Linked DNA regions of Stegostoma tigrinum. The protein of the gene in region 2 purifies or fractionates together with the protein of the main gene of each other region. This does not show direct contact. Links are inferred from orthologs where the notes say so. Each region holds a gene or a part of one and is shown on either strand. Other genes may lie near its edges.

Evidence for each region.
Region 1: the proteins of rfc5 (region 2) and atad5a purify together in Homo sapiens (affinity purification with mass spectrometry; 4 studies listed by BioGRID and IntAct, counting the BioPlex papers as one, with this or other methods). This does not show direct contact. The link is inferred for Stegostoma tigrinum from reciprocal best matches to the Homo sapiens genes RFC5 and ATAD5.

Annotation. Positions count from the first base shown.
Region 1 is NC_081375.1:3,873,236-3,877,154, forward strand, and holds the start of atad5a (ATPase family AAA domain-containing protein 5), read right to left. Parts: upstream 2,646-3,919; 5' UTR 2,332-2,645; intron 2,121-2,331; 5' UTR 2,083-2,120; coding exon 2,035-2,082; intron 1,684-2,034; coding exon 1-1,683. UniProt on the Homo sapiens protein: Has an important role in DNA replication and in maintaining genome integrity during replication stress.
Region 2 is NC_081379.1:34,697,194-34,701,112, reverse strand, and holds the start of rfc5 (replication factor C subunit 5), read left to right. Parts: upstream 1-1,462; 5' UTR 1,463-1,477; coding exon 1,478-1,587; intron 1,588-3,919. UniProt on the Homo sapiens protein: Subunit of the replication factor C (RFC) complex which acts during elongation of primed DNA templates by DNA polymerases delta and epsilon, and is necessary for ATP-dependent loading of proliferating cell nuclear antigen (PCNA) onto primed DNA.

The DNA.
Region 1 (3,919 bases), on a different chromosome or scaffold from region 2:
TCTAAGGCTCCTCCGTGTAGTTCTACAAGTTTCATTTGAACGCGCTGTTGTTAGATCCAAAGGCATTCGGTCTCTGGATTCTTTACTTGTGACACAGCCCAGATTCAGATCAGGATTAAATTCTTCTCCCGTTGTTTCACAACTATCTAGGTTTTTACATTCAGCTCTAAGTTTTCTGAGTTTTAACATTTTCTTCTTCTTCAAAGTTGCACCTACAGACTCTCTGCTTTCCACCCTTGAATCTTTGCAGACTTGGCTTGATATCTCAGCATTTGTAGTCTGGACGAATTCCCCTTTTCCCTTCTCAAGATTGGGCTCATCATCACTACCTTCACCTTGTGCTAAACCTTGCTTGGAGGCTTTTGACTTCTGCGTTACCCTTTTAAGTGCATTTTTTGCCTGATCTGAAGAGGGCGGTCGCCTGAAAGCATTCATAAATTGTTCCCTTTCAGCTCGACTACACTTGGCCTTCATAGGACTCTTTTCGGTGGCATCCAATACCAATAGCTCCAACTCCTCCTCTGCTATCACCACATTGGATCTCCTTGCAGGAACTGAATCATGGCTCTCAGCAGGATGTGGGCTCAGCTGTTGGATTTCAATCACTTCACTTTCAGAGTCTGCTTTCTTTCTCAAAAAAATTGAGGCTATTTTTTTCTGTTTCACTTTGGAATTTTGAGCTGAGGTAGCTAGAGGACTAGAGTGAATTTGAACATGGACAGTAACAGTTTTTGGGGAGATTGGCTGAGGAGAAACTGAACTCATGTCTTCTATTAAATTGGGAAGCTTGTTACGTTCCTCAATTATCTCAGAGTTGGCCTCTGCTGCTTTTTCAGCTGAAGGCTCTTCAGTTCCTTGGTCCTTCATAAAATCTTCGAATGACACAGTAACAGTGCTGTCATTTGCCTGAGGAGTCTCATTGGCTGGTGGTTCCAAACCTGTCTCACTGAAATGTATTTTTTCATTTTCAAGAACCATGGGGATAGTAGCCCCTTTAGACTTTGCTACTTCGATCCCCTCCTCACAGTAATCATCCTTTGTCACAAGTTCAACATCGGACTGTTCTGAAGAACCTTCAGGTTTACTCAAAGCCTTTCGTTTCCGTGTTTTTTTGGTGATTCTTTTACTTGAATGGCTGACAACTTCATTGCAAGTGTCCTTTCTGTTCTGTCCTTTTATCTCTCTTTGTAGAGTACTGGAACTCATATAAACACTTTCCTCATTCTCTTTAAATATATCTTGGCTTTCTGCACAAAGCTGAGCAATCAATGCAGCTGTATCACTGCCAAGAACTCCAATGCCTGACCTTACGTCACACACCTCTCCAACACTACAGTTACTAGAATCATTGATTTCAACAATCTTGCGGCATTCATTCAATTTCCGGCTTAAGTTAGTTCTTCTACTGAGTCTTTTCCTTTTGGAGATTTGGTGTTTCCCCTCAGAGACTACAACTGATTCCCTACTGTAGTCTACAGATATTACCGCTGAATTCTTTCGTTCACATTCACTCGATGCAACTGAAGCAACATTTTGTCCAGGAGTTTTCTTGAAGTAATCCATTATGTTACCGGACTTGGGTGATGGGCAGGCCATGTCGAGGGATTTGGATACTGGTGAAAAGTAGCTTGTAATTGTTTTTGTGTAGGAATCCTCTGCATCTTTCTTCTGTTTCTTGCACGGCTGTAAAACAAACAAACAAAATTAATCACTGTCTTGGGAAGCTTCTTACTTTCCTTGATTATCTCAGTCAGTTCTGCTGCTTTTCCAGCTGAAGGCTTTTCAGTTCCTTGGTTCGTCATAAAATCTCCAAATGACACAGTATGGCACCCCTTTGATCCAAAGTGACTTTTATAGAAGTCATTTATTATAATGACTGCAACACTATTACTGCCTATGTAATCAGTGAGTTGTAGTAGATCATCAACAAACGTGAAGTACAGTACACTCCAATGTGAATGACAACAACTATTTCAATTTTACGTCCAAAAAGACATTTGAAAGGAAGTTAAATGACAATCCAAATAGTCTCACCTGATCATGTTCCTCCACCATTCTGGCCATAGCAATAATCCCAACCATATCAGTTTAATCTTCCCCTACCCTGGGCATTCACAAACCTGATAAAAGACCAGTGAAGAACATTAATAGCAAAGAGCTCCAGCTGGTTATCTTGGACAGGCATTCAACAATATATAGGTTAAGTAAGTTGTCATTTTTTTTCATGTTTACAAAGAGATAATGATATAAAACGCATTTCTGATTATGGAAACAAGTGTCTCCAACAAATACTAACAGATCAGACAGCCATATTCAAAGCCAAATACTCGCCTTTAAGAAACCTCAGGTCGAAATCTGTGAACACACATTTCGGTGGCCCCCTTTTACAACATTAGTGGGGCCCTCACCCGAGAGGCCTCTTCTTATAATTTGCTTTCTTTTAAAAATGAAAACAAAACAATCAATCACATCAGATCAAATTTACGCTACACCTTTTACGAAAAACATGAGACTGAAACTCCCAATTAATTGTTACTCTACCCGTTGCCTTGAATATTCCCCCCACCCCTCCTAAAACGGGAGTCGGGACGGGGGAGGGGGGGTAAAGACATAAAATCTCTTTGAAAGACGCGCCCGAAACCCCGAGAAATGGCGCCAACTGAGTCTGACCTTTGACCCGCCGCCCTTCCCCAACAGCCGGCAGCGCTCGCCTGTCAATCCGAGACTGATCCCCGCCTCCGTTCCCGCCCCGGATAGGCCTGGCTCCGCCCCGCGCACTCGGGGGCAAGACCATCAACGGATTGGCTCCCGGTCGCTGTCAATCATGAGCAACGCCCCGCCCCGAATGACGCGGGGAGGCGACCGTTAGGCCCTGGGCTGTGCCCTGTCAGAGCGCGAGCGACAGAGCTGAGCAACGACAGCGGGACACTCCCCTCTCATCATCGGCGTTACTTCAGCATGAGCTGATGTTCGGTTAGTAAATGATGCATTTTTTTTTGTTGAAGTAGAGTGTAGGTAGGGAAAAATCTTCACCTTTTGAATTAAAAGCAAAGGCAGAGGTATAAATTAAACGTAAGAGGAAGGAGGTTTAGTAGAGGGGGGTGTGAGAGAAATATTTTTCACCGTGTGGTCGGAAGCTGCAGCTCATTAAGGTGACAGGGGCGGAAACCTTCATAACATTTAAGAAGTACATAGATGTGCACTTGCGATACCAAGGCACGCAAAGCTATGGGCCAGGTGTTGGAAAGAGGATTTCGAATAGTTAGCTGGTTGTATTTTAAACCTGCGCGGATCCGATAGGCCGTGGGACTTTTCCCTTTGCCGTGTGTTTCCATGAATCTGTGAACTGCAGATGCTGGTTGTCTCAAAAAAACAGAAGTGACTGGAGAAACTCAGTAGGACTGGTAATGTCCGTACACAGAGGAGAGTTAATATTTCGAGCCTAGTGACCCTTCAGAACTGATAGCAGCTTGGAAACGTTAGTCAACAAGGTGTGGAGCTGGATGAACACAGCAGGCCAGGCAGCCTGAGAGGAGCAGGAAAGCTGACGTTTCAGCTGACCCTTTCACGGAAATCTGAATTAAAAAGATGCGTCCAGACCCGAAACGTCTAGCAGGCTGCTTGGCCTGTTGTGTTCATCCAGCTCTACACCTTGTTATGTCAGATTCTCCAGCATCGGCAGTTCCTACTATCTCTTGGAAAAGTTAGAAGTTGGGTCTGCTTCGTCCATTCGTCTACTGTAAGCGGCGTGCAACGCTCTCTGATAGGAAATACTTTGCCAGATTGGCGCTGCGAACCTCTCCGGTAACTGGTATGGGAGTTTCTCGTCTTCTCTTTTCATTTTTAGTCTTCATGTAGGGACTTATTGTGCGTTTTTTTTCCCCTCATCTGACTTTAGTCTGTGCGTTTTCTTTTAAAA
Region 2 (3,919 bases):
GCCTGCTGTGTTCATCCGGCTCCACACTTTGTTATCTCAGATAAATGAGGTGTTGTATTTTGGTAAGGCAAACCAGGGCAGGACTTATACATTGAATGATAAGGTCCTTTGTGAGCCACAAACAGACTTTGAGGTATGGGGTTCAGAGTTACTCAAAAGTGGAGTTGCAAGCAGACAGGGTAGTGAAGAAGGCATTTGGTACACTTGCCTTTATCGGTCAGTGCACTGAGTATAGGAATTAGGAAGTCATATTGCGACCGTACAGGATATTGGTTAGGCCAATTTTGGAATACTGCGTTCAATTCTAGCCTCTCTGCTATAGGAAAGATGTTGTGGAACTTGAAACTGTTCTGAAAAGATTTATAAGGAAGTTATCAGGATCAGAGGGTTTGAACTTTGGGGAGGGCCTGGGGTTATTTTTTCTGGAGTAACAGAATCTGAGGGGTGACGTTACAGAGAGTTATAAAATCATGAGGGGCATGGATAGGATGAATAGCCAATGTCTTTTCCCCTGGGTAGGGGAGTCCAAAATTAGAGGGCATAGATTTAAGGTGAGAGGATAAAGATTTAAAAGGAACGTAAGAAGTAACTTTTTTACATAGAGTATGGTGTGTGTATGGACTGAAGTACCAAAGGAAGTGGTAGAGCTGGTACACTTACAACATTTAAAAGTCATACATTTCGCCGTACGAAAGGAATACGTTCCGAAAGCTTTTGATTTCAGTTGGACTATAACCCAGTGCCATGTGACTTGGTCCACCCCAGTCCAACACTGTCATCTCCACATCTTGGCTAACATTTTAAAGGCACCTGGATCCGTATATGAATAGGATGGGTTTAGTGGGGTATGGTTTAAATGCTGACAAATGAGACTGGATTAATTTAGGATAGCCGGTCAGCATGGACAAGTTGGACAAAGGATCAGTTTCCATCTGACTCATATTGGCCTGGAAACGTTTATTAACTCTTCTCTCTCCATTGTTGCTGCCAGACCTGCTCAATTTCTTTGTTTATATTTCACACTTCCAACATGTGCAGCATTTTGCTTTCCTTTAAAAGAAACTGATATTGTTGATAAGGAGCGCTCTCGGAGGCACAGTTATATTTGCATCACCTTAGTCTTGTCCCATATGCAAGGTGATCTAAAAGGGTGCTTTTTGATGATGAGGTAGACAAACAGGAGCCTGGAAGAACACAGCAGGCCAGGCTGCAACTGGAAGAAAGAAAGTCAATGTTTACTCTTCTTCAGGAGTGATGACCACGGTGGGGACAGATCTTTACGCCCACCTCCGTTGCTTCATGGAATAAAGGTGCAGTTCTCTGAAATTTTGTTTCATCCAGTCCTTTTCTTAGACCGCGTTTTACTTAACGGCCCATTGCATATCTGATCTTCGCTGCAAGCTAATGTCCATGCACCTTTCGGGCTCCGACCATGTAACGCAGACTGTGGCTTTAGTGACTGTCTCAATCACCGCAGATGCTCAACGGCTTAAGCTCGCGAGAGCTCTGTCCTCACGCTGCGATTTGGCGCCAAAGCACGGTCACTATGGCGACGGAGAAGGAGGCGAAGAGCCGGAATCTTCCCTGGTAAGAGCGTGCCCGGCCGAGCTCATTAAATACCCCGTGGGGCTGCGTTAACAAACCTCTGCCACCACCTGGAGTCAGCGGCCGCTGGGCTCAAGCGTTTTAATGTAACGGAAACTGTGCGAGGTCGCCGGCTTGTCTGGGGTTTCCTCACGGACGGAACTCAGGCTGTAGGGGCCTTGCTGCTCTCTTTCTCTGATTGTGTTCCTCCCCTCCTGTAGTATGTATCTGACTCTGGCGGTTTGGGTCTACTGTAACTTGCTGCCAGCCAAAGGCCTGATCCCCTGTCGGGTTCGCAGACTCGGCACTTTGTGCTTGTTGATTATAATCTCCCGATAACACGCAGCAAATGCAGTTTTTGCTTTTGTTTTGAAACAAAAAGGACTTTATTCATAAAATTTGTAAAGGTGTGCCCCATAACATTTTAAACTTCACTTAGATGTAATAGGGTTCTGTTGCCTTCAATGCATTATATGACACTGTATGGTATATACATATATATTTACTGTGCAATTCATGTCAAACGTTCTCTGGTGCATTTAGCTGGAGGGTTCCAGCTTTCATTATACTATAGTGGGACGACCATAGAGTGTGATCTTTCGCTGTTGAGATTTTGAGGTGAATGAGTAAAGTTTTAGTCTGGGTCACTCAACACAGTGCTGGATCTTGGAATTTTCTAGTCTTTAACATAGTGACGGAAAGCTGAAAAACTGACAAGTTTTGGGCAGACCAATATTTTTATATGTAGAATTAATGACCTTCTAGCAGCAACAGCAACATATGTTGTCAGAGAAGCTAGAGATGTGACCAATTTGAATCTACTCCACAATTCAGTAGGATTGTGTTTTATGCTCTATCACAATGCCTTTTTTGTTTTCTCCCCATACCCCTTGATGCTTTTAAAATCTAGAAATGTATCCAACTCTTGAACATATTCAGTGATGTGGCCTTCTCAGGTAGATTAGATTAGATTCCCTACAGTGTGGAAACAGGCCCTTCGGCCCAACAAGTCCACACCGCTCCTTGGAGCATCCCACCCAGATCCATCCCCCTATAACCGACACACCCCTGAACACTATGGGCCATATAGCATGGCCAGTCCACCTAGCCTGCACATCTTTGGACTGTGGGAGGAAACCGGAGCACCCGGAGGAAACCCACGCAGACACGTGGAGCATGTGCAAACTCCGCACAAACAGTCACCCGAGGCTCTAATCGAAACTGGGTTCCTGGTGCTGTGAGCCAGCAGTGCTAACCACTGAGCCACTGTGCCGCCCTAAAGAGAATTCCACAAGTTAATTACCGTGTGAGTGAAAACAGTCCTAAATGGTCTACCTACCCTGTATCCAGAGACTGTGTCTTCTGGTTTAATCTAGAATTCCCCAGTCAGGGAAGACATACTCCCTGAATCCAGTCTGTCCAGCCCTGTTAGAATTTTATGTTTCAATCCAATTTCATCTCACCTTTCTTTATAAACTCTAGTTTATACAGGCTCAGTCGAACCAGTCTCCTCATAGACTGACCTGCCATCCATGGTATCTGCCTAGTGAACTTCCACTGCTGTCCCTGCATGGTACTTGTATCCTTTGTTGGGTAGTGAGACCAAAACTGCTCACAATACTCCAAGTGTGGCCACACCAAAGCCTGTAGCACAGCAGTAAGACATCTGCTGAACTTAAATTCTCTTGCAGTGAAGGCCACCATATCAATAGCCTTCCTAATTGCTAGCTGCACCTCCCTGTCTACTTTCATTGATTGATGTATAAGGACACACAGATCTCTTTGTACATCCCTGTTACCTAATATGTCACCATTTAAATAATACTTCTGGTTTTTTTTTGTCCCAAAGTCACTTTAGCCATGTTGTTCTGCATCTGCCATGCGTTTGCCCACTCATTGAACTTGTCTAAATCACCTTGAAGCTTCCTTGGCACCTCCTCACATCTCTCAATCCCACCCAATTTTATGTCCTCAGCAAACCTGGAAATGTTGTATTTTGTCCTTCATTTTATAGATATTGTGAATGGTTGGAGCCCAGGCACTGTTTCTTGCAGTACCCCACAAGTCTTTGCCTGCTACTTGGAAAAAGACCCACTTATTCCCATTGTGTTTCTTATCTATCAACTGATTCTCAATTCATGCTCACATATTAACCCCTATCCTATGTGCTACAACTTTGCCCAATAACCTTTTATGGGAGACTTTATTGAAAGCCTTTTAAAAGTCCAAAGATCACATCCATTGGCTCCCTCTTATCTAATCTACTAATTACATCCTCAAAAATCTCCAAGAGATTTGATAATCTCATTTATTAAGATTTGCCCACTTGATTCCT